Oreochromis niloticus: one gene and its partners. The protein of the gene in region 3 purifies or fractionates together with the protein of the main gene of each other region. This does not show direct contact. Links are inferred from orthologs where the notes say so. Each region holds a gene or a part of one and is shown on either strand. Other genes may lie near its edges.

Region 1 (7,395 bases), on a different chromosome or scaffold from region 3:
TTGCAACGCTTCTGAAGCGTGATCATCGAACAATCAAGCGTTTCATTCAAAATAGTCAACAGGGTCGCAAGAAGCGTGTGGAAAAACCAAGGCGCAAAATAACTGCCCATGAACTGACAAAAGTCAAGCGTGCAGCTGCCAAGATGCCACTTGCCACCAGTTTGGCCATATTTCAGAGCTGCAACATCACTGGAGTGCCCAAAAGCACAAGGTGTGCAATACTCAGAGACATGGCCAAGGTAAGAAAGGCTGAAAGACGACCACCACTGAACAAGACACACAAGCTGAAACGTCAAGACTGGGCCAAGAAATATCTCAAGACTGATTTTTCTAAGGTTTTATGGACTGATGAAATGAGAGTGAGTCTTGATGGGCCAGATGGATGGGCCCGTGGCTGGATTGGTAAAGGGCAGAGAGCTCCAGTCTGACTCAGATGCCAGCAAGGTGGAGGTGGAGTACTGGTTTGGGCTGGTATCATCAAAGATGAGCTTGTGGGGCCTTTTCGAGTTGAGGATGGAGTCAAGCTCAACTCCCAGTCCTACTGCCAGTTTCTGGAAGACACCTTCTTCAAGCAGTGGTACAGGAAGAAGTCTGCATCCTTCAAGAAAAACATGATTTTCATGCAGGACAATGCTCCATCACACGCGTCCAAGTACTCCACAGCGTGGCTGGCAAGAAAGGGTATAAAAGAAGAAAAACTAATGACATGGCCTCCTTGTTCACCTGATCTGAACCCCATTGAGAACCTGTGGTCCATCATCAAATGTGAGATTTACAAGGAGGTGTTATGGCCCTGGGCCTTGGAGGGAGTGAGACTGCCTTTTTGTGTTCATGCAAATCCATGTGTGCCATGACTTGTGGGTGATTGGTTACTGGGAGACCCGTGCCAACCCTCTTTTATGCAGAATGAAGTGTGCCAGACCACACGGATGATTGGCTGCCCGGGGATCCCGTGATGCTCCAAGAGGCAATCAGTGACTGATCGTACCCACCTGTGGCTACAAAAGGCTGGAGGTCCTTCACTCAGTGGCTGCTGTTTAGGACTGAACATGCAGTTTGCCCTTCGTGCCTCCCTCTTCAATCTTTGTTGAACTTGTTCATATTGCTGAACTTTGTCAAACCTTGGTGCATGCTTGAACTTAGCCAGAGTAGAGCTTTGAGCTGCTAGCTGGCTGTGAGTAGAATTTTGTGATGCTGGCTCACCTTAGTTAACCCTTAGCTTTTATTTTGTGTGTTGCCAGCTTGCCTTAGTTAACCTTTAGCTTTTACTCTTGTCTTTTTTTGTCTTTATATAATAATTGTTTGCCCAGTGGTCTGTTGAACAGCCCTGTCAGTTTTCTGTTTACAGTTTGGAATGAAAACCTTTCTTTACTCAGTTTTGTGTTGGGGGCGTGTGTATGTTACTCCTCCCCTGATGCCTAGCAGAGGAGGTTGTAACAGGGGGGAAAACAGTACACCTCTCTGAACAGTGTCTGGGAGGCTGTGGTTGCTGCTGCACGCAATGTTGATGGTGAACAGATCAAAACACTGAGAGAATCCATGGATGGCAGGCTTTTGAGTGTCCTTGCAAAGAAAGGTGGCTATATTGGTCGCTGATTTGTTTTTGTTTTGTTTTTGAATGTCAGAAATGTATATTTGTGAATGTGGAGATGTTATATTGGTTTCACTGGTAAAAATAAATAATTGAAATGGGTATATATTTGTTTTTTGTTAAGTTGCCTAATAATTATGCACAGTAATAGTCACCTGCACACACAGATATCCCCCTAAAATAGCTAAAACTACTTCCAAAAACATTCAGCTTTGATATTAATGAGTTTTTTGGGTTCATTGAGAACATGGTTGTTGTTCAATAATAAAATTATTCCTCAAAAATACAACTTGCCTAATAATTCTGCACTCCCTGTATTTTCACGGTTGTTGTGGTCGTGACAATTTTGTGAGGCCACATCGAAAAGGCTCAGATGAGCTTGCCAAAGTTCTACATGTTGTGCCTCCATCGCTTGTGTCCAGATCACACGCTGCACTGCCGTGCTGCTCTGTCTTTTCACTTTCATTTGTGTTTGTGCGTGCAGTGTGGGAGGCTGCGTTGACACCCTCATGACGGCCGACAGGATTTCAAACAGGTTTGATTTTCTTACGACCAAACAATTGATGATCGGGAGCTGGTCGTGAGGTGTTAATCGCTTCTCGTTACCCCATGTATACTACACGATGCGTGACACACGATTAAGGCGAAACTCGGGCCGATCCCCAAAACGGTCGCACAACTAAAAAATCGGCTCAAAATGGGCCAAAAATTGCACAGTGTATGCCCAGCATAAGGAGGAGGAGTCACCACTCACCATCTGCCTTGTTTGTGCATTAACAGTAGAAAAAGGGTTTTGCTTTAATGTCTGAGGTATTACAAGCAGTATTAACTTTAACTCAACTACACCAAAGCTGTCTCAGCTATTTGATGGTGATCGTCATACCTTTGGTGTGTGAGGCTCCGTCTCCTGGGAATATATAGGAGTCCTCGAGTTTTGTGATGTCGTACAAGCAGATGCAGAGTCCCACGTTATAGACCACCTATTGTAAGCACAGCACTACACAATTTAACACACAAACTTCTGCTAAAAGGACAATATATGTTCAGTATTTTAGCTGCTGAACTGTTAGTGTGTTTTGTGTGGTGAAAATTGATCCTAAGTGTGCTAGAACGGTCTCCATCACCTTGTTGGCCAGCTTCTTGTTCAGTTCCTCCGCCACAGCCTCGTTGAGTTGCCGGTGAAAATTCCACGGCGGAATCCGCACCGTGTCGACCATTTCCACCAGCACGAACATGATGACCGGACACTGGTCACCTACCCACTAATTACCATACGTTCTTATAATATTAAAAGCAATAAAAAATATTAAGTAATGATCAGAAAGTAGTATCCACGTTTCTTGTTTGTTTGTTTTGCGGCATGCCGTAAAACAGCTGTCGCAATTCTAGACGACTACGGCAGGTTTCTGGTGCCACCTAGTGGCTGTAACGCTGCAATTGCTAACAAATACCGCAAACCATGGACTCGTTAGTGTAACGTACCACGGCCTGCCACGACATGCCAGAAACTGCCAATTGCTTGGAGGTTCTGGTACTTCATACACCCGGCTGTGTAGTCCAGAAGGGTCAAGTCAAGTCAGAAAAGCTGGTCTGTTGAGTGCATTCAGAGCCTCTTAATTACTCACTTTTGAAAAATGGACCTTCAAACTGGGTTGAGCTTATAGTGCATGTCCCTCCTGTATTCTGGTCTTTGTTGAAAATAATAGTCTCTGTTTTTAAAACATTTTCCATCTAAATGTTTTAAATCATGCTATTATGATTAGTGGATAAATCTATTGCGTGAGTGATTGACTATTGTGTTATAAATATACTTTTACTGTCAGACTAGAATACTGAACACCATCATTATCCAGGCTAAACAAGCAAAAAGTATTAAAGGGATGTTTAGGTTATTTATTTCAGTAAGTGAGGTACAGAAACTGCAGGATATTCTGGCCACAACAGATGTTAAAGGGAATAATGAGCAGCCTTCATCATCAGCATCATGGTGCTTGCATCAATCTGCTGCCCAGGATAAATGGGAGAAAGCAAGGCCCTATCATCCGATCTGGCTGTTGTCTTCCAACGTGGTTCCAGAGAGGAACAGCAGCTACTGAATGAGAAATGACAGTCCATCGTTACTTTCAGAACTGAAGGTCAGTCAGTCCAGAAAATTGCTAAACCTCTGAGTATGTCCCCAAGTGCGATCGCAAAAACCATCAAGCGCTACGACGAAACTGGCTCACATGAGGACTGTTTCAGGAAAGGAAGCCCAAGAGTCATCAGCCTCAGAAAACACAAGTTAACAGCAGAACAACAACAACAGAGTTCCAGCAGCTGACACATCTCTACATCAACTGTTCAAAGGGGAGTGTGAATCAGGACTTTATAGTCAAATAGCTGCTAAGAAACCACTACTAAGGAAACGCAACAAGCAGATTTGTTTGGACCAAGAAGCACAAGGAATGGACATTAGACAAAGTAATCAAAGCAAAGGGTGGCTATTTTAAAGAATCTAAAATATAAAACATGTTTTGAGTTATTTCACACTTTTGTTGTTTACTACATAATTCCATATGTGTTCATTCATAGTTTTGATGCCTTCAATAAGAATCTACAATGTAAATAGTCATGAAAATAAATGAGAAGGTGTGTCCAAACTTTTAACTGGTAGTGTATATAAAAATTTTAATAACAATGTATTTATGTACATGTGTACCATATTTTGTTTATAGGTCGGTATGACAGACAAGTATATATATCTATATATATATAGATATATATAGATATGTATATATGTACGTATATATATATGTATGTATATACTTGCTTCCTGAACAGACTGAACTTGCTAATATTTACATATTAATAATTAATAATATTAATGTGGTCGCACTAAACTAGCGACCCTGTGTTACATGTTTTAACATGACTGCACTGTAAGTGGCTGATAGCTGCTGTCATATGCTGATTGTCCATGTGTACGCTCGAACATGGGCAAGTCTGGTATTTATATTTGACATCACAGCAAATAGGAGATTCGAGTCTGGCATTGATATTTGACATCACAGCAGGAAGGTGATGCGAGTCTGGCATTGATATTTGACATCACAGCAGAGAGGCGATTCTGGTGTTGATATTTGACATCACAGCAGGGAGGTGAGGCGAGTCTGGCATTGATATTTGACATCAGAGCAGAGAGGCGATTCTGGCACTGATATTTGACATCACAGCAGGAAGGTGATGCGAGTCTGGCATTGATATTTGACATCACAGCAGAGAGGCGATTCTGGTGTTGATATCTGACATCACAGCAGGAAGGCGATGCGAGTCTGGCATTGATATTTGACATCAGAGCAGAGAGGCGATTCTGGTGTTGATATTTGACATCGCAGCAGGGAGGCGGATCTGGCATTGCCATTTGACATCACATTATAGAGAGGCGAGTCTGGCACTGATATTTGACATCACAGTATAGAGAGGCGAGTCTGGCATTGATATTTGACATCACAGCAGAGAGGCAATTCTGGCTGCCATGGTTACGGGTTGTTGCCATGGCTGTTGCCATGGTTACGCGTTGTGGTTGCCATGGTTGTTGCCATAGTTACGGGTTGTTGCCATGGTTACGGGTTGTTGGCATTGTGGTTGCCATGGTTACGGGTTGTTGCCATGGTTACGGGTTGTTGCCATTGTTGTTGCCATGGTTACGGGTTGTTGCCATGGTTACGCATTGTCAGCGTTGTGGTTGCCATGGTTACGGGTTGTGGTTGCCATGGTTACGGGTTGTTGCCATGGTTATTGCCATGGTTAAGGGTTGTTACCTTGGTTGTTGCCATGGTTACGGGTTGTTGCCATGGTTGTTGCCATGGTTACGGGTTGTTGCCATGGTAGTTGCCATGGTTACGGGCTGTTGCCATGGTTACGGGTTGTTGCCATGGTTACGGGTTGTGGTTGCCATGGTTACGGGTTGTTGCCATGGTTGTGTGTTGTTGGCATTGTGGTTGCCAACAACCACAATGCATGCAATGTGATGTCAAATATCAATGCCAGACTTGCATCACCTACCTGCTGTGATGTCAAATATCAATGCCAGACTCGCCTCTCTGCTGTGATGTCAAATATCAATGCCAGACTCGCCTCTCTGCTGTGATGTCAAATGTCAATGCCAGACTCGCATCACCTTCCTGCTGTGATGTCACATATCAACAGCAGAATTGCCTCTCTGCTCTGATGTCAAATGTCAATGCCAGACTCGCATCACCTTCCTGCTGTGATGTCACATATCAACAGCAGAATCGCCTCTCTGCTGTGATGTCAAATGTCAATGCCAGACTCGCATCACCTTCCTGCTGTGATGTCACATATCAACAGCAGAATTGCCTCTCTGCTGTGATGTCAAATGTCAATGCCAGACTCGCATCACCTTCCTGCTGTGATGTCACATATCAACAGCAGAATTGCTGGGTTGTGGTTGCCATGGTTACGGGTTGTTGCCATGGTCACGGGTTGTTGCCATGGTTGTTGCCATGGTTACGGGTTGTTGCTATGGTTGTGCGTTGTTGGCATTGTGGTTGCCATGGTTACGGGTTGTTACCATGGTTGTTGCCATGGTTACGGGTTGTTGCCATGGTAGTTGCCATGGTTACGGGTTGTTGCCATGGTTACGGGTTGTTGCCATGGTTGTGTGTTGTTGGCATTGTGGTTGCCAACAACCACAATGCATGCAATGTGATGTCAAATATCAATGCCAGACTTGCATCACCTACCTGCTGTGATGTCAAATATCAATGCCAGACTTGCATCACCTACCTGCTGTGATGTCAAATATCAACAGCAGAATTGCCTCTCTGCTCTGATGTCAAATGTCAATGCCAGACTCGCTTCACCTACCTGCTGTGATGTCAAATATCAACACCAGAATCGCCTCTCTGCTCTGATGTCAAATGTCAATGCCGGACTCGCCTCTCTGCTGTGATGTCAAATGTCAATGCCAGACTCGCCTCTCTGCTGTGATGTCAAATATCAATGCCAGACTTGCATCACCTACCTGCTGTGATGTCAAATATCAATGCCAGACTTGCATCACCTACCTGCTGTGATGTCAAATATCAATGCCAGACTCGCCTCTCTGCTGTGATGTCAAATGTCAATGCCAGACTCGCATCACCTTCCTGCTGTGATGTCACATATCAACAGCAGAATTGCCTCTCTGCTGTGATGTCAAATGTCAATGCCAGACTCGCATCACTTTCCTGCTGTGATGTCACATATCAACAGCAGAATTGCCTCTCTGCTCTGATGTCAAATGTCAATGCCAGACTCGCATCACCTTCCTGCTGTGATGTCACATATCAACAGCAGAATTGCCTCTCTGCTCTGATGTCAAATGTCAATGCCAGACTCGCATCACCTTCCTGCTGTGATGTCACATATCAACAGCAGATTTGCTGGGTTGTGGTTGCCATGGTTACGGGTTGTTGCCATGGTTACGGTTTGTTGCCATGGTAGTTGCCATGGTTACGGGTTGTTGCCATGGTTACGGGTTGTGGTTGCCATGGTTACGGGTTGTTGCCATGGTTACGGGTTGTTGCCATGGTTGTGTGTTGTTGGCATTGTGGTTGCCAACAACCACAATGCATGCAATGTGATGTCAAATATCAATGCCAGACTTGCATCACCTACCTGCTGTGATGTCAAATATCAATGCCAGACTTGCATCACCTACCTGCTGTGATGTCAAATATCAACAGCAGAATTGCCTCTCTGCTCTGATGTCAAATGTCAATGCCAGACTCGCTTCACCTACCTGCTGTGATGTCAAATAT
Region 2 (7,993 bases), on a different chromosome or scaffold from region 3:
GCACTCGAGCAGATTCATCCGTACAGAGTCAGGTTTGGCTTCGGCGTGGTTCTTCAGTAGATCTCGCAGCCCCGCCGCCCCCCTTTTGCTCATACCCACCTGCGTGATGTTGAGTTCTTGCTGGCCGTGACTGTTTTGATTAGTGGCGGGAATTTCTTTGCTTTCTGCTGGAGGGTTCGAGCGAGGAACGCTGTGAGTTACCGTCTCCGATAAACTGCACACGCTCATCTTAGCTGTAGTCTCTTCCACACTAGAAAGCTCAGACAACTCTCTCTCTCGTGGAGCCGCCTGGTCCGTATGTGTCGTCTGCAGCTCTTTGGGTTTTTCAGCATCAGTAACTTCAGTTTTACGCACGTCTGCCTCTTTTCTTTCCTCGTCTTCTATCATACTTCTCTGTTCCTCTGTATTCTGACTCTGAGGAGGTTCGATCTTTTCTTCATTCCCCTCTTTGGTGTTTATCTTTCTTGTTTCAGACTTCCTTTGTTTCCCTTTATCATCCTTATCTGAGAGTTTGGGCAGGTCACCCCAGTGTACCCGGGGTTTCTGCTGCTGGGAGACCACGCTGGAGACAAAGTCCTGCTCATGTTCGCCGTCACTGACATCACTGTGGCTGCCTCCAGCAGGATGATCACGAGAGCTGTGAAGATCCTCGTCCTGAGCAGCCACAGGGTTCTCGATGTCCTCTTCTTTTAGATACCTCTCGGACAGCATCACCTCCTCACCAGAGCTCCCACTGAATGCACACATGTAACCCTGGATCAGTCTTTCTATTAATAAGGCTAAACATGGAAAACTAAACACTGAAACTTATTACGTACCGTTCTCCTTGCTTCAACAACTTAATTTCAGGAGGACTGGGAGAGAGAAAGGGAGCAAAGACATTATACAGAACATCACTGCATTCAACAATTAGATCAATCAGGTGATTTAGGACAGAGGTGAGAAGCAGCACACACACCTCTCATGTTGCCGAACCCAAAGAGGCGTCTTTGGTATTTGTAGCTCAAATGCTTTGGAGGCTTTGTAGCAGAAATTACTGCAAAAACACTAAAGACAAAAGAAGCAAAGACCAAAATGTGTCTTTAAGCACACTCTGGTAAGTGTAAAAAAAACCAAAAAGCAATTTCATGTAGAAACACTCACCTTGCGCTCTGTGATGTCATACACTTTATTGGTCTTCGTAGAAATTTTGTATTGTTGAGTTGGGATCTAGAAAGTGAACAGCAGCGCAGACTCAGTCATCACATATGAGACATGAAGATGTTTATTATTTGCAGCGAAATGCAGTATCAGTGGCCTTACCTTGCCCAGTTTATTAGGACAGATGGGATAACCGCACAGCTTAGCAATAGACCTCTCCTCTACAGTATCTCTGTAATTAGCTGGGGTGATCATTTTGGCCTGTGAAGTAAAGAGAACTCAGTTACTTTGCAGCTTTTCTGTGGTTTAAATTTGTGTAAAATTAATATTGTGTGACATTTTAAATTAACTGATTACTGACTGAAAACCTGCTTGTAATCTAAAGTCTGTGATCAGAAATGGAAAAAAAAGTGTGTGTTCACACAGCGTATCTCAGCTGCCATAGGGTGAGAGGCGGAGTCCTCGATTGGTTGCCAGTCCATCTCTCTTTTCACCTGGCTAAAACCTCATGGTAACTAATGCTGAATGCATTAGATTGTTTATTTTATCCCTCTATGCACTAAATCCCAAGATTGACATTTTTCCACAGCATTAATATCTCGTGTTGTCTGTAACAGTTTTGCATTTTATTGTAATATTTTTCCTCTTCTTTATAGACTTTTGACAGCATTTTATCATTATCACCTTATAACATCTGATTAGGCAGCATTCACAGGGATCATTCTGTGTGGAAAAAGAGTAGAACATGACATACCTTAACAACAAGCCTAGTTAAACAAAGAAAGGTGATAACCATCATAATGATGTCCATTATCTCTGACTGGGGTTTTAAGCTTTGTCAACAGCTAACGCAAACAAAGCCTGGCTGTGGTGAACTTCCTTCATAGCATACTCCTCAGGTCCTTCTTGCTGTGAGGCAATGGCACTGCTACCAGTGAAGTGGTGTATTCAAATTCATAACAGGTCTAAATAACATACTACAGCCAGGCTGTGTAATGCTGGCCCAATGGAAAAACCTCAATCATGGGATCTCATGGTGATTATAAACCCTGGAAACTGCAGATTGGGCCATGTTCTAAGACTGTGAGAGTCTAATTAATTGTGGCAGACATGTTGTGTGAATAAAAGAGACAGGTTTAGTATGGCAGAGGCTTGGCAGTGATGTAAGGGTAACAGGACCTGGGTGTGAGAGAAGTAAGGGAAGACTTTGTCTCCTGGTTTGCCTAAAGCTTGTGCCATGTCTAAAGTCACCGGTGACACATACACAGTCCACTAGGAAGTCCTCAGCCACACTGTCGTCCAGGAGCCGCTCCACCACCTTCAAAGCTCTCCTCTCCAGCTCCAACTTCTCCCTCAGCTTCTCCTTCAGCTCCTCTCTCCTGACATAAAGCACACATGTGAAGAAGTGTTTGTGTTTACTCCACAACCAACAAATGTTTGGTAATGATTACTGGTGCAGCTGAAGCGTCCAGTAGAGATGTCCTGGTGGAGTAGGGGTTTCTCACCTTCTCGCTTCTTCCTCCGCGGTGAGTGCTTTGACACGTTTCCCACCTGCCCCACAAACAACAAAACATGTTGAATATACGAGTTAACTGAATCTCTGAGGGCAGAGATCTTGTTACTCTACCAAACAAACCAACGAACCGCTACGCAAACCAGCTGTGAGCGCTCTGAGACCCGTGTAACCCTCCGCAGCGCCGTAAACACCTCTCTAAAACCCGAGAAATAAAAAAAAAAACAGGCTTTTAACGAACCCTTTTTGGCAGGTTTTTTGGAGCTCCCGCTCCTTCTTCTCTCCTCCGTCTCCATGCTGTTTCTGTTGTCTACGCTTTCAACTTTGACCTGTGACGTGTCTCCCTCTACGGCAAGCCAGGGGGGACAATTTTGCGTTCGCGAGGTGAGTCCATAGCGTGCAGTGTGTGTGTATGTGTGTGCGTGTGCTTTTTTTTTTTCACCGGGCTGTTTGTGGAAATTAAGCTGAGGTAGGTGTCCCCTTCACCTCGGTCCCGTTTGTGTCCACATCAGCGGCTCTTTTAGTGGTGGTGAATTTGTTTGGCTAGCCACTGTTCGGCTAATTCAGAGCAGGGTTAGCATCCCTGCTGCTCTGCTGTGTTTACAGTCACACAGGCTCAGAGCTTAACCTCTGACACCTTTGGACCTGTTTTTTATATACTTGAAGTTTCCCCTTTGTTTTTGAGGACTTCTGCATGAGGACAACACCCGTATGAAGACAGCAGGGATGGCTCTGGAGCAGCTCAGTGAGGTGGTCCAAAGATGTGTAAGTATTCAGTGGGACTTGTAACCCACATCCCCTCCTTCACTCTGATATCCATTCCCTAAACAGCATGTCGGCACAGTCACTGGCACCAACCTGCATGCTGGTACCCACTCACAGTGATAGAATGAGTCCCTCACCAGAGCATATTCTAGATCAGGGGTATTCAATTAAAATTTAAGGAGGTCCAGTTTGAGAACATTTCCAAGCCCAAAATATAATCAAGTTCCACATGATTATAATTATAATAAGTGCAGTCTGTTTTGAAGTAGCCTAACAGTTATACAGTGTAAGTATATGGGCAATAACTGCTTGTAAAGTAAAGCAAAGAGAGTGTAATTCATCAGTATTTTAACAATATTTTTTATTCATTTCTCTGATGTAAATGTTCTTTTTTGGTTTCAAGTAAAATAAGGTTTGCAATCAAATAATAGCTTTTGAAAAAGTTGTCTTCAAATAATTTAAAATAATGAAAAGTTGTATTTTGAATTTCCCCTCTTTGGCTTTTTTCTAAATTACATTTCACATGTAAACCATCTCACTTTAAACCCTCCTTTTCTCCCTGTCTGTTTCCCTGACTTAATTCCTTGGGCTTCTGCTTCTCGTCTCTGAGTTTTCTACTTTTACACGTGCTCTGAGTAAAGGATTGCCTGAGTAGAGTTACGTTGAGTGAGTTAAGCACGCCATTGGTCTATGTATTTCGATTCAATGGCTTTGCTGTGTATATATGACCATAAAGACAAAGGAAAAGGTGGCACATAGTAAAAAGAAAGGGTTCGTGAAAATCTAGTAGGTCTGAGTCCGTAAAGAATGGCGTAGGGGTGGTCCACCTGTTGGTGACCTAGATTCTAGATGTTTTCTATTGTTTTATAAACAATTTGCTCATTGTGCTTCTGTTTGTTGCTGTTTTGTGGTCATTTTTTTGTCTCTTCATTTTTCTTTTCTTCATTTTCCTTTTCTTCATTTCCATTTCCTTTTGGTTGTTCTGTGTGTCTCTCTGTGGGATGCACGCAAGTTTACAACATTTATACACTGCTGCCATACAGCAGCAGTGTATAAATGCTTAGTTAGTGAAGACGGGAATAGAGGAGAAATTTTCAGTGGATCATGGGATGTCCCCCAGCATCCTGAGGAAGGAGCAAAACTAAGGGATTGTTCAGGGTCACCTGATCCAGCGCTAACTGTAAACTTTATCAAAAAGCCTAATCTTAAAAGTAGAGGGGGTGACTGTGTCCTGAACCCAAACCAGAGGGTAATAAGATTTTGTCTTTGAGATATTTGATGAAATATAATATTTAATAAGAAACTGTTTAAAATGTTGTTTTCTCTATTTCTACCCACGTGTTTGTTTCTTTTGCATACAGCAGGCTCTTCCAGACGACAGCTACACCACTGAGGATCACAACATCTTCACGGTTGCTGGGCGGACATGTATCGAGGAGGGAAACAGCGCGCAGGTCCTCAGTATTGTGCTGGATGAAAAGAATCAGGTAACGTTTCTCAAAGTTGACACCAATCACTGCTTCTCAGGTTTGTCACACACTCATCTGTGTAACTGTTTTCATCTGTGCAGGAGATCGTGAGATGCATGGGTTGGAACCTGCTGCCTCCGCTGATCCAGGTCCTGCTGAAGAAAGAAGACAAGAATCTTCCTCAGTGTCTGGCCATTTTTAACCACCTGCTGGAGGTCAGTGGTCAGGAGTGGACTTAAGATAAAACATCACCAATGAAAACTGGATGAATGTGGCATTTTAAGGGTGATCTTTGTGGGGGGTTTTGCAGACATGCAGACCCAAAGAGCTGCTGATCGGCCTGTTGGAGCAGCTGGAGCAGGATGATCCTGATACGATAGTGGAGAGTCTCCATCTGCTCTTGAAGCCTTTACAGAAAGGTAAAGAATCTTTTTAGTCATCTTTAATGCCACTCTTTTTATTGGTTTTCTTCTTGTCTTACATATATATTGCATATTGCTGTTTGGATACTTTTTCTTGCTGTTATTATTGTGATGTATTCTCTGATTCCTGCCTCTAACAGTGCTGCTGTGCCTGGGCGGCCGTAAGGCGTCATCCTTGGGCATGGCGCTGTCCTCCGTGCTGGACCAGGTGGCCAAATTGCCTCTCCCTCACACCAAGGAGCAAGAGGAGGATGACGTCTTTTCATTTTGCCGTTGCTGCACTGACATGATAGATTTCGTCAGACCTTTTGTTCAAGAAGTCAGGCATAACCTGCTGAATAATGAAATGCAGAGCGAGACCACAAACAGGACTGTGGGCAGACAGGGGAAGGATAAAGAGGATGAGCTGCGGACAGAACTTCTGAAGTTGTGAGTGAAAAAAAATGCGTTTTCCAGCTCAGACTCACGTTTGATAGTCCGACATCATGTCATAGAAAAGCACTGCAGGGCTCTTGAAAACTGATGATGTTGAGGCTTCCCTTTTGTTTGTCTCCTCTTGAGCTGTATGAAGAGTCTGAGTCATCCTCTGTTGGAAGTACACCTCAAGGATCCTGACACGCTGGCTCTGTCCCCCCTCAGGACTTTTGCCACCGAGATTTTGGTAAAAGCATTTTTCAAACGCGTAAACGGTTTCATTGCTGGTTTCTAATATGTCATCAGTTTGTCACGTACTTGCATATCATGGTAACTGTGGCTTTCTCTGTCCTGCAGAACATCCTCGGTTCTATTGGGGAGTCCATCGCTGGGCTTGTGCACCAGCCTCTTTTGAAGAGAAAGCAGGTTCCCGGCTTTCTCGAGGAGGAGGTGCGCTATCCTAAAGAGTCTTTGGCCAGCTTGGCTCATCTGGTGTTTGTCCATCACCTGGCTGCAGACACCTTCCCCACTGTTTTCAGGTATTTTGAAAACATATTTTTGTCCTTGGATGCACAATGTGCGATTATTCACACTTGGTTTGAAATGGATCTGTGCTTGGGTGTTGCATTCATTCTAAATTAACAAATATTGAAACATTTAAATAGATTCTTAATGCTCCCAACACTCCGTATTCTCTCTGCAGTCCTGTGTTCAGTCTTCGATGTAACATCGAGCACGTCTCTCTCCTCCTGTCCAGGTAACATGACATAATAATGTGTGGTGTTATAATCTTTGTTAGTGTTTTACAAAAGCTGTAAAATATAAATGTGCACATTATACACACATTTATAACACACCACTTTAATGATCAACCTGTAATGAGTAATATCTATCTTTTATAGAACTGAGGAGTCCAAGCTTCAGAAAGGACTGGTAGGTGATGTTTTCACTGATCATTTAGTTGTTTATTACATAAATTATAATGGCCTTAGTCATAAATGCCGTACATGACTCCTGGATTTAATCCTATATTTTTCCATGGTGATATTTTAATAATACTTAACATTTTTAAAAGTTTGTTTTCTTATGGTTTGATATGTACGGTCATCATCTTGGATGCTCATATTCAACATGGCCAACGTTTCAAATAATGTGGTTAGCGTTTGGAGAGGTTTTAGACTCTAAAACTTGAGGTTCCCCACATTTCTTCCTATAATAGCCAGTTGTAAGAAGCCAAAGAGGAGAAAGGATGAGGCTGTAAGGGTCATTACCTGCCAGTAAAATGGTCACTGTGTTACTTAAATCTTCCTCTGCACATTAAAAGCAGTCATCAGCGTATGATGGATGTGCATCACACAGGAGCTGTATGAGAAAAGTCTGGTGCGGGTGGAGGACGGCAGTCTGCGTGCAGACCTGCTGGAGATTAAAACCTTCCTCACAGTCCCTCAGGTGAACGCAGTTGCTTCATTATAGACCTGTTGGGTCTACCGTTGTGTTTTGTGTGCATCATATAATGTTATTAATGTCAGCGTTTGATTTCAGAACTTAATAAAGGTCATGACGATATGTCCAAAGCATGAACTGGTAAGTTTTTGAATGAATTTTTATGTGTTTAAAATGTAATGTCAGATCATTTGATTTGAAATCGACTTTTATTTGTGTCACCTTCATCACATTTTTGTTATCTAGAATGAAACTTTTATGTTGGAACTTCTTTTTGTCTTCAGAGAACTAAAGGACTGAAGGTTTTCCAGCTGAGCGTTGATAAGTTCAACACTGAAGCCAAGTACAGATTCTTCCAGTGAGCTCCACCTTTCTTCCCTGAAAATTAATCAGAAATATGTGTCTTTGCCACTTCCCACTCTAGTGACCTGTGTTCTTGTTTCAGGTACATGTTGAAGACAAGTAACCACTCAGGAGTTGAAGGCTACATCATTAAAAACATCAAGAATCAGATAGACATTGCCCTGCAGGTGAAGATGTGCATTAAAGGAAAAAATGACAGTGTAGGCAGTGTTTAAAATTTCTTGGGGGACCTAAAAGAATCTCTTTACCGCTCCGTCTCCAGCCAGGTAACAGTAACGTCTGGTTTGAAGGCGTTCAGCTCATGCCTCTGCTGCGTAAGGTTCTTATTCTTCCAGATGGCCCAGAGACAGACCTCCTGCAGTACCTGGACAGGTCTGTGCACACACACTAAGCCAGTCCCAACACACACTGTTAAAAAGGGTCATACACACTGTTTAAAAGAAAGTGTCACATTGTTTAATTTT
Region 3 (7,163 bases):
TCGTCATAACCCGTGCCGTCCACATTTAGGGCGATTTGCTCTCCTTTACTGCGACAGTAGTTTGGACTCACTGTGTCCATGGATATTTCCAGCTCCACCTGTATAAGGAGCCGTACATAAATGATCAACAACTACAAACACCCGATTTAATGACTTTCAACATTTCTGAAAACTTCCAATACAAAAAATCTTATCTTATAATTTAACCTGATGTAACCAATTAACTTGAGAAATTGGTGATATTCAATACTTTAAAAATTTATCCTATTCACACATCTCCCCTGAAACGGAAACATATTTTCAACAAAACACAAAATACATCAACATCAGGTTTTTGGTTACCCTTTGCTGCTTGGGTTTGATCTTAGCCGCCAAGTGGGTGACATCATCATAGGTCATGGTGGCTGGTCGCACAGGGTACTGCATCAAGGGAAAGCGGTGAACTCAATTAGTGACTCTTTGAACATTACACATCAATCCCACCCCAGACGGTGCAGATAAGTTAGAGAAACTGCTCACACGTGGGCTCGTGAGGTCGTGCTCATCAGCGCACGGGTACTACAAAGGGACAAGCTCACCTGGAAAAGATACAGCTTATCTGCAAGGCTTTTGGCGAGGTACACGTCGATCTAGAAAAAACACAAACGTAGATCAAAGTCAAACAGGCTGACGTAAGGAGCCAACAGCCAAACCAGACTTTCCTCCAAAGTTCCCCAACTCAGGGTCATAGCAGGGTGAGAGGTTGGGTACACCCTGGACAGGTCGCCAGTCTGTCGCAGGGCTAACACAGAGAGACAGACAAGTAGGGCTGCAGCATTTGAATATTTAAGTAATTCAGTTTGCATTGATCCAAAGTGTTTGTGCTGACTTTATGGTGATGTAGATGTTAATAATTTGTGTTAATTATAATTCAGTGTCCAACCAAACAGCCACAGGTCATTGGCTCAGAGTTTTCCTGGCCATTGTATGTTATAAAAAAGCTTTTATTTTTATATTTTAAATATTCATAAAATTTAATTAATGCAATCTTTTTTCCTTGATTCTAAAAATTTTTGTTAGGAGAGCCCTTAAATAAATATGGCTCAGTACACCCCATGCCCTCTTTAGATTCCCCTCTGCATGCTGCAGGTATCACTGCAAGACAAAGTATGAAAGTTGTCTTTAGCAAGTTGCCTGATTTAAACATCGTATCAGACTTAGTTAGCAGTTAATCTGCATAATTTAATGTAACGCCTGTAATCTCTTTGTGGTGTGTTTATGTAGACAGAGTCCGGGCATGTCTTTGGGCTGAGGGTCGAGTACTCTAAGAGAACATGCAAAAACCACAGTAAGATACTAAATTCGAACCCATGACCTTGTTGCTGAGAGGCAGGAGTGCCTCATAGCTAACCACCGTGCCACCAAGTAAATAATAGATTATTAAAATCAGCTGTCTCCACTTAGCTCAAACAAATCCTTTTTGTGCTGACAAATCAGCTGCCAGAAGTAGTCAAGCCATGATCACTAATGAGAAGTTAATGAACCTTGTCCCTGTCAAGTGAAAAGGCACTGCAGAACCTTCAGCACCAATTACTAAAGTACATATTTAAAGTAATTAAATATGTATGCTGTACAATCATTCCACCCTGGAAAATGATCACTTCAAAGAAATAATTAAAAGCCAAAAATTGCCACGACAGTCATGCCGATGACGACTGTATGTAAACTTCTCACTACAACCATGAGTATAAATGCTGATATTTGCTGCCAGGTGATTTTATTACCTGTTAATACACCTAACAGAGACTATGCATGGGAAACACCTGGGAATTGTTTACTGCCCGTGAGGCTGTGTTCACACTGATAAACACAGAACAGCAATAAAAGGTGCACAGGGCAGAGAAAATGCTGTATCATACTTGATTAGGTCAGTGAGACGTATAATATCCTTTCACTTAAGCCTGTAAACATACCTCCTCTATAATGGGGTCATCATCATCACCGCTGGCCATGTTGATGTGATCAGAGCAAGAAGGTGAGAGGGGCAAATCTTGGGGGAGAGGGGAAGGGGGTGGAACCTGGAAAAATAAAAGACAAACTGGGTTACAGGAGCTAAACGTCCGGCTGCACATTCCTGTTACTGTTATGGAGTGGCTACACCCAGACTGGCAACAGAGGCACTAGATGACAGGAACTTAGTGATCCGGCACATTACAGTTACATCACAGTTCAGTCAGGAGGTGTCAGTATTGGTAATAGCCGATACTATTCAATTAACCCAACAAGTAAACCATAAGACGCTAAAGTAGTCAACTTCCTATGGTAACCTGTCATGTGATGCTTTCACGGACACACAGGTAAAATCCACATGATGCAACACAGCAGTAAAAGACTCCTCCTCGTAGAAACATAACCCTATCAAACACTGTGTCAAGCTAATAAAAAAACCGTATGACGCCAATTTACTGGCTGACTATATAGAGTGTTTATGGTTAAGTTAGCTCCATTAGCAGCAAACCCTGTGAGCATTTATCACAGGCCTACACAACACAGCGGGTGATTTTTTTATTCCTATGTAAAAACCAACACCAATATAAAGAAGATAGGATACACAGCACTAAGTTGAAGATCTGTTTCCTGTAAACAAAAGTACAAGCAACGACATTAGCTACCAAGGCGGTAGCTAGCAAATGTAGCCTAGCGTGAGCTAGCTTAGCATGGCGTGCTTAGTTAAAATAACACAGATTCAATCAGCGGGCCTGATTTTAAATGTTCTTTATGTAAGAATAGCAGATTCCTCCCTCACCTGCACACTTCACCGTTCAGCTTTAGCTATCTCATCCGGGTGTAGCTAGCCCAGGAACGTGGTGCAGAGAGCTGCTGCTGAAGTGGAGTTTAACTCAAGACAGCTGTAGTCTACTGCCGATGTGATACCATGTTGACTCTGCTCCACACAGACACGTGGGGAGGAGCCCGCGCCCATAATGCACAGCGAGTCCGCTATGCGCTTGTGTCATTATTTTTGTACGCTTTTTTATTCATTACCAACTACCCCTAGGTATTATTTGTGGACAATTTAAGTTTTCAGATGAGATTGTTTCGTGAATAGAACGGGAAAAAAATGTATCCTGGCAGCGGTGGGATTCGAACCCACGCCCCCGAAGAGACTGGAGCCTTAATCCAGCGCCTTAGACCGCTCGGCCACGCTACCGTTGTGATACGACGTATCGAAACAGAGGCTAATAGCGAATATGAAGCCCCCTGACTATAAAGTTTGGGTTGTACCCGTTTTAAATGGAGTTGAGACAAAAATAATGTAATATAAAATCCAAGGACATGCAAAATATACCCTGAAGTCTCCTGGGCAATTAAAAATAGAAAGTTTCAATTATTGCACTTCTATTGAGTTCTTTTTTTGAGACTGCAGCAGCAAATAAGAGGATAAACGTGTCCTCAATAGACAGAGAGGAGTCGTTACAGACTTTAACTTCAAATCACGTCTGCAGCACAGAGTCAGCCTTCCTAATCAGCTTCTTCAGCTTCCTAGTGTGAGTGGATCTGCTGTTAATACAACAAAAATAGTGTAAAAACGTAGAAATTTTCATCGGGGTTGAGGTTGGGGCTTTTGGGAAGGCTTTTCCAAAAGCGTAAAGTCAGTTTTAATGTGTGTTTTGGATCATTTTTCTGCTGGAACATCCAGTTGTGTCCGAGTTTAGTTGTTAATTTGAACTGAATCTAAAGTAATTATTCATTATTTCATCCACTTTGTGCAGTATACCCCAGAGCATGATGCTACCTCAAACATGCTTGACAGTTTGTACGTCATCTGTTTGAAAACCTCATGTTTATTCTGAAAACATGCCTCTTGCCATTGTGGTCAATTAATGACATACTGCAGCTCGATCTTTTTCTTAGTTGACCATCAAATTTCTTTCAATAAGGGATTTGGCTTGCCCATGTGGGACACTGCAAAATTCTATCAAGCTGATTTTGGGGGCTTCTTTCTTCCTCTCAGTTCATGATGTAAAACCTGCACTGCAGCAGTTTGGAGTTCATGGCAAGCTTTAAATCTGGTGGTTCCCGACTACACCGACCAATTTTCCTCTCATCTGAGGATAATAATGTGGGTCTTCTTCCAGGACTTGGCAAAGTGGTGACATACCTCTGAGCTCTGGGATCAGAGAAAAGTGCAAAGAAAACCAAGACTAGTGAGTTGAAGCATTTCACTGTTTTCTTTTGTCCCGTAACCAAACTGACTGCAAATTAACTTATTTTAGTTAATGGTGCAAAAAACTAAGGTAAATTGTTTCTGTTATGATACAATACACCCTAATTTTAGGTTACAAGAGTCCTTCCACTAGTTAGAAAAAAATCACAACAGGATCATGATTGGTAAAAAGAAAGGCAAACTTTTATTTTACAGTTTCATATTCCAAGCACTTTTCTTTATCACATATATTCTCTTAAACATAAACATGTTAACATCTGGGTCAAAATAAGTAAATCTTTTTTGATAGGTCAGACCTTTTCATTCGTAGAATCACATTAACTTAACTTAACTAAAGGTTAATATAGACATGAAATGAAAGAAATGAGGAGCCAGGAAATCTAGCTTTACAACCATACAGAAAGAATTCTGAAGATAAGTCTGATGCTGAATGGCTCAACACACATCAAACGCACACACAAACAAACCACCAACAGCAAAAAAAATCTGTCATAAAAACAGTAATGTAAACTGAAGTCATTCAGGTTTTACCCAGAATGTGTTAAAAAAAGAAAAGAAAAAAGAAAAAGAAAAACAGCCACACATCAAGTCTCGTGGCCTTTTTGGAGGTTAAAATTAATTTCTTTTATGTCGTGGAGTTACTCCTCCATTTGTGCCCAGGCTTCTTCGGCTTTCATGTAGTACTGGTTAGCCAGTCGACCCTTCATGGCCGCCATGGCAGCTTCTGCAGCTTCAGTAAAAAGGTCACCTGCAGGAGAGAGACAGCATGAGATGTTACAGGCAGTCGCTCCACCAAACAGAAATGAACACCAACCCCACGACCATCATGTGAGACTAAAGCTTCTCCGTGCCACAGATCAAAATCACAAGCCCTACTGCTTCACTGGGAAAACAACGGTCAGACAGAAACTGGTGCAGGATTTCTTGAAGTTAAAATTCTGCACTCGGGTTGAACCTGCTCTCTGTGGGTCTGCAGCGAGGTTGTGGCCTCCCTCCTGGTACATCTCTGCCTCTCTGGCCAGCAGAAGGTGGCGAGGCTCGTCCTGGGTCCCATCGAACTCTCCTCCCTCGTCGTAGTCCATCATGTTCAGCGCACTGTTGTACCAGTGAACCGCTTCGGCCCAGTCCTGCTTTCTGTGAAGGCAAGAGGATAAAATGCTTTAACTCACAAATCACCACCAATTAAAAAAAAAGAAACTGTAAAAATCCAACCGGCCACAAGAGGGCAGTACTATCGAGTAAAGTCATCCCCTTGGAGCAGGATTCCTATGTCTCACCTGAAACATCTGCTTTGAATGAACCTTCACTCACCTGTCAGCAGACAGATTGACTCCAGTATCAAAGGCTCTGGCCACTATGATCATAGAAGATCTGTCGCCAGCCTCAGCAGCCTGCAGCAGATACTTGAAACCTCTCATATTGTTTCCTGCATTATCCTGCCAACAACACACGCACACACACACACACACACACACACACACACACACACACACACACACACACACATCAGAATATAAAGCCACACTTGTGAAGTTAAGCTGAACAGTAGAAAGGAAAATAGATGGCGCACAGTACCTCCAGCTCCATGTCTGGGAGTATATGATGAGGTAGCTGCAGAAGGCACTGTCCCAAGGCTACGATGGCCTCCAGCTCTCCACACATGGCGGCTCTCTCCAGGTGGTACATGGCCGACTCCTGGTCCCACTGCTCGTCCTTCTCGCAGAAACGACCTGCTTCGTGGTACCGCACCATCGCCAGGTGGACCTGGGTGGGAGATCCAGAATATAAGCGCGTGAAGCATGTCGAGCTGCCTCATTGTGTTTGATTTGCTATAGGAGGAGTTTGGACTGAACAGAATGCTTTGCCTTTTATTGCTGGAATCAAAGAAATATATCAAAAATGGTAACAATGTAAGTGTTTTTAGTGTTGATGGGACCAGAGTTAAATAGCGGCACGGAAACATTAAATTAACTAATGTTTCCTCCTCTTACTTTTCCAAGAATCGACTGGCCGATCTTCTTCTGCAGCAGGTTGTTGAGTCGTTCCACCTCGGTGGCCACACAGGAAGGTCGGTGGACGTGAGCGCGGGATGAGTGATAGAAGGTCCACTTCTCCTCTGTCAACTGAACAGAAACAGGCGCCAAAGATCCAAGACAGAAAAAAAGTTACCATCTGATATTCATTGCATGAAATATATTATGGTTGAAAAGTCACACTGCAGTCTCAGAGGTGTACCCGTCCAGGAAAGTCTGCTTTGAGCTCAGAGCTGGAGGAGTACACCCCTGTTAATGCAAAAGGAGCGCACACACAGACACACACAGTTACAGAGGTGAAAATAAGCGGGATGGCAGAGCAGGCGAAGGTAAAGGAGGTCGATGGTGTTTCAGTTCCAAGTATCACTTTTTATCTCCAGTTATTCTGTATTTTCTGATCGTTTTCGTTCACTGAATAAATAAAGCAGGCGTCAACAGGAAAATAGCGACAGTGAGTTCAATCCACACAAATCGGAACCGTTTGAAAAGCAGAGCCATCATGCTGGAGGCAAGGATTATGCTTCACGGCCAAAAAAAAGACTGCAAAGCGCTGCACAGGGAAACACCTGGCTCAGGAGCTTCCATGCAAATAATCACCCATTCGTTGTCAGGAGTGTTTAAATTTAAGTTTGCAGAGACTCTTGGAGGAGCTACCATCTTCCTCTAGTGAGAGGAAACAAAGAGTAGGAGGAGTGGAATTAGAGGAGAGGTGAGGAGGGGCTTTCATGGTTAAATAAGTGATGGGAAAACAAAAGTAAAGATGATGTTAAAAGGGAAATTAAAGTAGTGTTATTTGATTACAGTGGTGATGATGATGATGATGATGATTAAGAACGAGGAGAGGAAGGGATTTAGGGATATTTATGTTTCTTTACCCGTCTGATACTTTCCTCATCCGACTCTGAATATTGCCTGTTGTAGCG
Region 4 (7,251 bases), on a different chromosome or scaffold from region 3:
GGATATTTTCTCTTTTTGGGAGATGGCTGTGGGAAAATCCTCGTAGATCAGCCAGTCTGGTACCAACAATTATCCCACAGTCAAAGTCATTAAAATCACCTTTGGGGGTGAGGGGAAGAAAACATCGAAGTGTCATTTAATCTTTATTACTATGAAAAAGGCCCCAAACCAGTTTGCATTACACAAAATCAGGTTACTTCCCCCTGCTGCATTTTATTATTCTGAAAGGCAGACTTCATTTCAGGGGTCGAAAAGCTGCAAACATCTCATAGCAACAGACCAATTACACGTGACTACATGAATATAGAAAAGTCTACAAGAGCTGAAACACATATTTTCCTGTCGTCATGGAGATGCTACCAATTAAATCGGCTCATCAGTTAGAAAAACTGGAAAAACAGTCACGACCAATTAAAATACTTATTTTTTAATAAACCAAAACAAACTTTCATACATCTTTGACAAGCAAATGTATTGTTTAGACGGAGAATAAAATGAGTAGTTCACAAATCTGAAGCCAGGTCTATTTATTTACATGATCCCACACTACAAACAGTAAACAGAGTCAAAACTGCTCCTCTCCTCTTCTTCATCGGGCATCGAATACAACCACTGAAATCAGAGAGTCAAGGAAATCCACAGCAAACGTAGCAACCAAAAAATATCAATCAAAAACAAAATATCTGAACACTCTTTAGCATAAAGATTCATGTCTGAAATTAACTGTCAGTTGGTCATTTTTAATGTTTTCACAAGTTGTCTTCATGCACACAATGTCAAAAGGATACATCTCTTTGTTCTCTTCTTGTACATGATCCTGTAGCCACACTCTCTGCATCTGATCGGATCGCGGGCTTTGATTTCGTTCTCGGTGTGACATTCTGCAAGTGATGAGAGAAATCATGGTGTTATGTGTTCAAGTGCAGTTTGAGCAGAGCAGAGCAGCGGGCAGCACATAGTTTTTCTGCTGATGTTAATGACAGAGAAGGTTTGGACCTCTGCAGCTACTGAGTCAGCAGAGTGTTGGTAACTTTTTTTCACTTAGCGCACGCCTCTGAATTCAAAGAGGTGTGGCCCAATATTTTAGTCCATAATGTGTAAGGTGTATTCATTTCAGTTCATTCAGATTGTTACTGAGTTTTTACACTTGCCACAAAACTTGTTAGTACTAAAATCAGGGTGGTTCCTTTTCCAGATGCAAGATGACCAACATTACGTAATCATGGTGAAATATGTGTTATTGGTTCCAAAATAGTAACAATGTATCAGACTGTGAAGGAGGTTTAACATTTCCCACTGTAAACATTTAGTGAGCCTAATGTGTATGTTATGTCATCCAGAGGTCTCCACCAAGGTGGATTAAGTAGTAAAAACACTATTCAAACACAAGAACATCATGTAACTCTCAGTTAGTACTTGTGTTTTGCACCTGGAAGCACAAATACCCACAAGGTAAAAAAAAAAAAAAAAAAAAAATCATACATACATACAGAACAATAAAATTATCTTATTCCAAGCTAACTATGATTAAAACAGAGATTAGAAAAGGGGTAGGGGTCATGAGGCTATAAAGGCACCTGAGATGTAATTTCAGTGAATGGAAATCCCACACATGCCAGGTATCACAGCTTTGAATGCACAGACCGGTTTACAATAGGCAGACCTTGTGCTCCAAGTGTTATTTAGTACTAATACTGAACTCATATTTATAATTATAGACGGTAGTTATGCGAATTTTCTATAATGTACATTTTCATGTGTTAGGCAAAACAGGACATGATATAGTGTGATAGATGGTTTTCTCTAAAAACTAGTGCTGTAATACCTGAAAAAATACACTCTCAGTTATCTCTGAAGCATTAATTACGGATTAATCCTTAATTTATTAATGTCGGACAGGCTAGTTTTAGAATCTAAATTTAGCTGTAGTTTATTATTTGTTAACTTATTATGAGAGAATTGTTACTACGACGGAACACAATATGAACAATATTTAAGGTCTCTGCGGTGTAATGTAAAAAAAAAAAACATCCAGAGGAGAAGCAGCCGTGATGGCAGTGATGAAAGGTTTGCATTAGAGCAGGTAAGATCGTACTGTTTGCATTACCCGCGGGTGTATTATTAAAGTAAAAGTTGTAATATACCTCCACATATGTAGATCATAGGCTGCTGCTTGGGCGGCTGTAGATCTTTCTGCGTATCCATTTCTGATTCTTAACAAAAAAATAGAGACAGAGATATAACTGTTAACAACATGCTAACAGAAACAGCATGGTATTGCCCGAAACAGACTAAAACAACCCATATGGTATTTAGAGCAAACAACAAATATCTTTAAAGTATCTAAAAACGCTGCATAAACCTAACAGATATGAAGTACACAGGATGGAAAGACAACAACAAGGTTTCTCACCGTTTAAACACGATAGCTGCTAGCTGTTTACCTCTCTTTTCATACTCCACAAGGCTCCTGCCTGCACATGCGTAGAACAGTCGTTCACCTCACAGCAAAGTCGCTTGTGATTGGTCGGACGATGTCTTTGAATGAGACCAGGAAAGCATAGTTGTATTTTGTGGACAGCTCTATTATCAGTAACATTTTATTCACAAGTCTCAGTTGTTTAATAGATACAAATTATTCGCTGTTTCTAAGGAGAGTATTTTTTAGCCGTTTTGTTTGTACTCCGCTCCAGCAGGGGGCGCTGCGGTGAGGCCGTAACACCGTCATCCGACGAGCCCTCAGCTGGCGCTGCTTTAGTTTTTGACAACAACGACTCAGTCGACAATGTTCTCGCCCTGACTGCTGGTCCCAAAAGTGCCACGAGTCCCTATTAGTCTGTTTTCTTTTTAGTTTTGAAGTCGTACATCATGGAGACGTCTGCGCCCAAAAGGTTTGTGTTATTTTAACTGCGCTAAAAATGCTATTATTATCGAGCTAGCCGAACAGCTAACGTAGGCGGTGGATGTCGCCGAGCTCGCTGATGCTAAGCTAACTTAGCGTTGACAGTCTTCTCTCAAACTTTCAGTTCTGTTCACGGATGTACAGATCGTTCCTCACACAGAGACGCTCTTTCTTGAGCCCTCAATTGAGTTTCTAATAGATTTGGCTAATGATGTGGTCGTTTTGTGTTCCCAAGTTTCTGTAAGAGTGTTTTGTTCAGTGGTTTGATTTGCACTTTAAATATCATTCAGTCGCATGTTAACTGAATCAGCCTCTAGTTTCCCGAGTGTCCTCCAAAAAATGAATTGCATTGTTTCTGTGTATCTTTTTATGTCTAATATTGTTGAAAGTATTTGTAAACAGGCTTTAGTTATTAGGATTTATGAAGGGGTTTTTATATATATGTGTATATATATATAATAAAGACGTGATCTCTCTTTATGGGTCTGCGTTATTGTTATTGACTTTCTTAGCCACTTAAAATGTCCTTGTAAAAGTTAAAGGTCCTCCATGTTTTGGCTTGCCTGTTTGCGCAATCTCTATTGGAAAAAAGACGTTTTGAATGTCAATAACACTTTTTATCCAAATAAATAAAAGATATATAAAAGTCACTTTGCCAAAAACTAAATGCAGCTTCTACTGCTTGCTCAAAGTGACTTGAAATCATTCATAAGAGAGAGGTATGTTTGATAGGTCATAGGCATTCATTTAGAACTGTTTAAATACCGGACACGGTATTTTTTGGCACAACTCCTGAAGACAAACCAGTATTACACGTTACTGATTACTTAGTTGGTTTCTGTGCTGTGGTGGTTCACGAGTTCACAGGCTCAAAAAAAAGACAACGCAAGTTAATTTTACCGAAGAGCTTTTTAACCACAAGGCGACAGATCTGAAGTCTTTGTATGATTGCTGTACTATTTTTAAACTATGAGATCACACATGTTCATCTTGAGATGAGAAATATTTATTTATTCCATATATGAGCACCCCTTTTATTACAACACTATAAAGGATGATGAAATAATAATAATAATAAAGTAATATTATTAAACATTTAGGTTGACAGAATTTGGTAGGAAAGATTTTTAGAATAGTAAAATATTTTAAAAAATGAATAATAACAAAATCAAAAGAAATTAGAACTGCTTTGGAAATCATTGACAAAAATAAAATTGCGTAATATAAAGACAAAATAAATATAGAGTAAAAATTGCTTAAAAGTTTACTATAACATTAATAAATATACAATGAAATTAAAGAATGAGTCTCCAAAAATAAATATTTGAACAAAATAAGTGATGATGATAATAATAATCATCATCATCATCATAAATATAATAATAGATATTGAAGTAAATTACCAAAAACATATAATTATAAAACACTATGTGAAATTCAGACTGAATAAGTTTTTTATTTTGGATTCAAGGAAAAACAGCAATATTTTCAGCTCTTCTCACAGTCAGTGAAAGGCTTCTCTGAAAGACTTTGAGGACACAATACTTAAACGTTTCTGTTCTGCTTAGTGGAAATTAACAGGAACAGCAGGATGTGAGGGCCTTTCCAGCTTCATATAGCACAAGCTTTTCTAAGAGGTAGTATTGAAATACCCTTATAATGGGGAAAAAAACACACAATCTGTTTGTGTCTTTGTCAGAGCTCATGTAGGATCATTTTTAAATGATTGAATCTTTTGATTCATTGTGTTTGATTTATTCACTAGAGCCAGACTGAGGAACCTTATTGAAGCTTGCGTCACTAAGTGTTGCTCAGGGAGAAACGACCTCCTTTAGTCTTGTATTGCACGTGATAATATTTTTGATCAAGTCAGAAAATAGTGAACAGTGCATGTTGGGTTGTGCTTTCACTTTCACAATAACATTTTTTGTCGATCACATTGAACTTAACTGGCTAAAATGACATTCCTGCTCTGAGTAAAATAATGACTTATTCCTGTTGTTTGGCTGCGGTGCTGATTTTTATCTGTGAAGAAGTATTACCTCATATTGTGGTGTTTGAAAGCACCGATGCACAAACCTAAAAATATCTTTAAATTACAACAAACGGAAATTATAACAAGTTGCAGTCCCAGTGTGTTTGACATTTATGTCCAGACTAAAAATCACCCACAGCCGTTCATTTATTTACAAATGCTGAAACAATGCCGTGTCTCCTGTTTTGTAATGTTTAGATTTGCCTTTTCCACTTATCATTGCTTTCACTTTTATATTCCTGTCTTATTCACTTTTTACAGTAAGCTGAAAAAGCTGAGTGAAGATAGTTTGACGAAACAGCCAGAGGAAGTGTTTGATGTTCTCGAGAAACTCGGTGAAGGGTAAGAAGTCTTAACTTCCATTTTTACAGCTGACCATTGCGTAATGAATCTCTTTTTAAGTGCTGTCAGTTGTAATAAAGCACTGCGGCCGTACATGTGACTTTAAGCTTTGTGTGTGTTTCTAGTTCCTATGGCAGCGTGTTTAAAGCCATTCATAAGGAGTCCGGCCAGGTGGTGGCCATCAAGCAGGTGCCTGTGGAGTCCGATCTGCAGGAAATCATCAAGGAGATCTCCATCATGCAGCAGTGTGACAGGTGGGACAGCAGTATGTCTTTAACCATACCGCCAGTTTTCCCCTTAAAAGCAGAGTTTTTCCTCAATATGAAAAATGTGGCGTCCAGTAAACAGTTTTGAGAGAAAATCATTGTTTATTTGCAGGCTCAGAATACATTTTTTGTTTATCAGCTGCCCCAAATAACAGGGAAGTGCACAGTTGTTCTGTTTAATTAGATAAGAGCCTCTTAGTGTTAACTGTACGCAGACCAGTTGCACTTAGCTTCCTCTCAAAGGTCCATTCTGAGCCAGGAAAACCCTCAAAAGACATTTTACAGAGATAATAATGGAGGAAGTATGACATCATCATCATAGCCTATGTAGCTCTCTCGTGTCTGGATCCATGAGATTTTTTTTCTCACTTCTGCTCTGTATCTTCTCCTTTGATAACCACTCCATGTTGCATTTCCTCCCCAGCCCCTATGTGGTGAAATACTATGGCAGCTACTTCAAGAACACAGACCTGTGGATTGTGATGGAGTACTGCGGCGCTGGCTCTGTCTCTGACATCATCAGACTGCGCAACAAGACGGTGGGTGTCTACGCTGAGCCGCAGCGACGTGTGTAACTGTGCTAAAACTTAATTTAAAAGTGCCTTTGACCTGTTGTCAGTAATGACTGCAATGGCGGCTTTAATTCACTAGTTTTTGTGTCAGGAAGAAAAATATTTTTGATAAAGTTTCAATTCAAAGTGCAGTATTTATTGCGACTTAAAAGTGAAAAGATCTCCAGGTTGAACTTGTCTTTAACTGAACTCAGCAAACTAATGATTATAAAAAAAAAACTACAGACAAGTGCAGCAGTTAATGCTCTGTTTTTTCATGTTTGTTTTTTACTCTTCAATCTCTCAGCTGACAGAAGATGAGATCGCAACCATCCTTAAGTCGACGCTGAAGGGACTCGAGTATCTTCACTTCATGAGGAAGATCCATCGGGACATCAAAGCAGGAAACATCCTTCTGAACACAGAGGGACACGCCAAACTGGCAGACTTTGGGGTTGCTGGACAGCTGACGGTAAAATTGCGGCATATGTCAGTAGTGATAAGATGAAGTAATGTCTGCCAGCATGATACTGTTTGTAATTTGCTTCTGAGGAGTTCTCGCTTGGTCCTGTCATGCTCTAAAAGTCTGGGGTAATATATATTCCCACTCTGTAGGACACCATGGCGAAGAGAAACACTGTGATCGGTACTCCGTTCTGGATGGCACCCGAGGTAATTCAGGAGATCGGCTACAACTGTGTAGCTGACATCTGGTCCTTGGGCATCACATCCATAGAGATGGCAGAGGGTAAACCTCCTTATGCAGACATCCATCCAATGAGAGTGAGTAGAAACATTTCTTCTTGTTTTAAATGTGTTGTGAAAAACATTTTTCCTCTTTTTTTAATCCACCCTAATCCTGTTATCGTGTTCCTGCAGGCAATCTTTATGATCCCGACCAACCCTCCTCCAACATTCAGGAAGCCGGAGCTCTGGTCAGACGAGTTTACAGACTTTGTCAAGAAGTGTTTAGTGAAGAACCCGGAGCAGAGAGCGACGGCCACACAGCTACTACAGGTAAGAAGATGACCTCACCACCACATACATGGATTACTACTATTATTATGTTATTTGAACAGGGAAGGAAACTAAGAGCAACTTGGTGTCCTTCCCTGTTCAAATAACTGATACAAAATGAAAGCAAACATATAAAAT

Evidence for each region.
Region 1: the proteins of polr3e (region 3) and polr3h purify together in Homo sapiens (affinity purification with mass spectrometry; 9 studies listed by BioGRID and IntAct, counting the BioPlex papers as one, with this or other methods). This does not show direct contact. The link is inferred for Oreochromis niloticus from reciprocal best matches to the Homo sapiens genes POLR3E and POLR3H.
Region 2: the proteins of polr3e (region 3) and rpap2 purify together in Homo sapiens (affinity purification with mass spectrometry; 3 studies listed by BioGRID, with this or other methods). This does not show direct contact. The link is inferred for Oreochromis niloticus from reciprocal best matches to the Homo sapiens genes POLR3E and RPAP2.
Region 4: the proteins of polr3e (region 3) and polr2k purify together in Homo sapiens (affinity purification with mass spectrometry; 3 studies listed by BioGRID and IntAct, with this or other methods). This does not show direct contact. The link is inferred for Oreochromis niloticus from reciprocal best matches to the Homo sapiens genes POLR3E and POLR2K.

Annotation. Positions count from the first base shown.
Region 1 is NC_031969.2:9,483,516-9,490,910, reverse strand, and holds the start of polr3h (DNA-directed RNA polymerase III subunit RPC8), read right to left. Parts: upstream 3,015-7,395; 5' UTR 2,827-3,014; coding exon 2,716-2,826; intron 2,572-2,715; coding exon 2,475-2,571; intron 1-2,474.
Region 2 is NC_031982.2:10,756,808-10,764,800, reverse strand, and holds the start of rpap2 (putative RNA polymerase II subunit B1 CTD phosphatase rpap2), read right to left. Parts: upstream 3,024-7,993; 5' UTR 2,950-3,023; coding exon 2,895-2,949; exon of another isoform or gene 2,785-2,894; intron 2,692-2,784; coding exon 2,646-2,691; intron 2,520-2,645; coding exon 2,405-2,519; intron 1,402-2,404; coding exon 1,303-1,401; intron 1,210-1,302; coding exon 1,144-1,209; intron 1,048-1,143; coding exon 959-1,047; intron 855-958; coding exon 819-854; intron 734-818; coding exon 1-733. Other genes in the region: glmna (glomulin, FKBP associated protein a), read left to right, coding at 3,365-3,418, 4,780-4,905, 4,989-5,102, 5,198-5,306, 5,450-5,738, 5,871-5,970, 6,081-6,262, 6,427-6,480 and 6 more.
Region 3 is NC_031973.2:9,907,113-9,914,275, reverse strand, and holds the start of polr3e (DNA-directed RNA polymerase III subunit RPC5), read right to left. Parts: upstream 3,015-7,163; 5' UTR 2,786-3,014; intron 2,058-2,785; 5' UTR 1,992-2,057; coding exon 1,953-1,991; intron 630-1,952; coding exon 579-629; intron 421-578; coding exon 343-420; intron 99-342; coding exon 1-98. Other genes in the region: eef2k (eukaryotic elongation factor 2 kinase), read right to left, coding at 4,846-4,955, 5,163-5,341, 5,519-5,643, 5,783-5,971, 6,199-6,330, 6,838-6,903, 7,116-7,163. UniProt on the Homo sapiens protein: DNA-dependent RNA polymerase catalyzes the transcription of DNA into RNA using the four ribonucleoside triphosphates as substrates.
Region 4 is NC_031985.2:19,959,513-19,966,763, forward strand, and holds polr2k (DNA-directed RNA polymerases I, II, and III subunit RPABC4), read right to left. Parts: upstream 2,527-7,251; 5' UTR 2,414-2,526; intron 2,214-2,413; 5' UTR 2,206-2,213; coding exon 2,145-2,205; intron 882-2,144; coding exon 789-881; intron 613-788; coding exon 590-612; 3' UTR 511-589; downstream 1-510. Other genes in the region: stk3 (serine/threonine-protein kinase 3), read left to right, coding at 2,869-2,891, 5,199-5,279, 5,405-5,533, 5,970-6,084, 6,404-6,568, 6,712-6,879, 6,976-7,113. UniProt on the Homo sapiens protein: DNA-dependent RNA polymerase catalyzes the transcription of DNA into RNA using the four ribonucleoside triphosphates as substrates.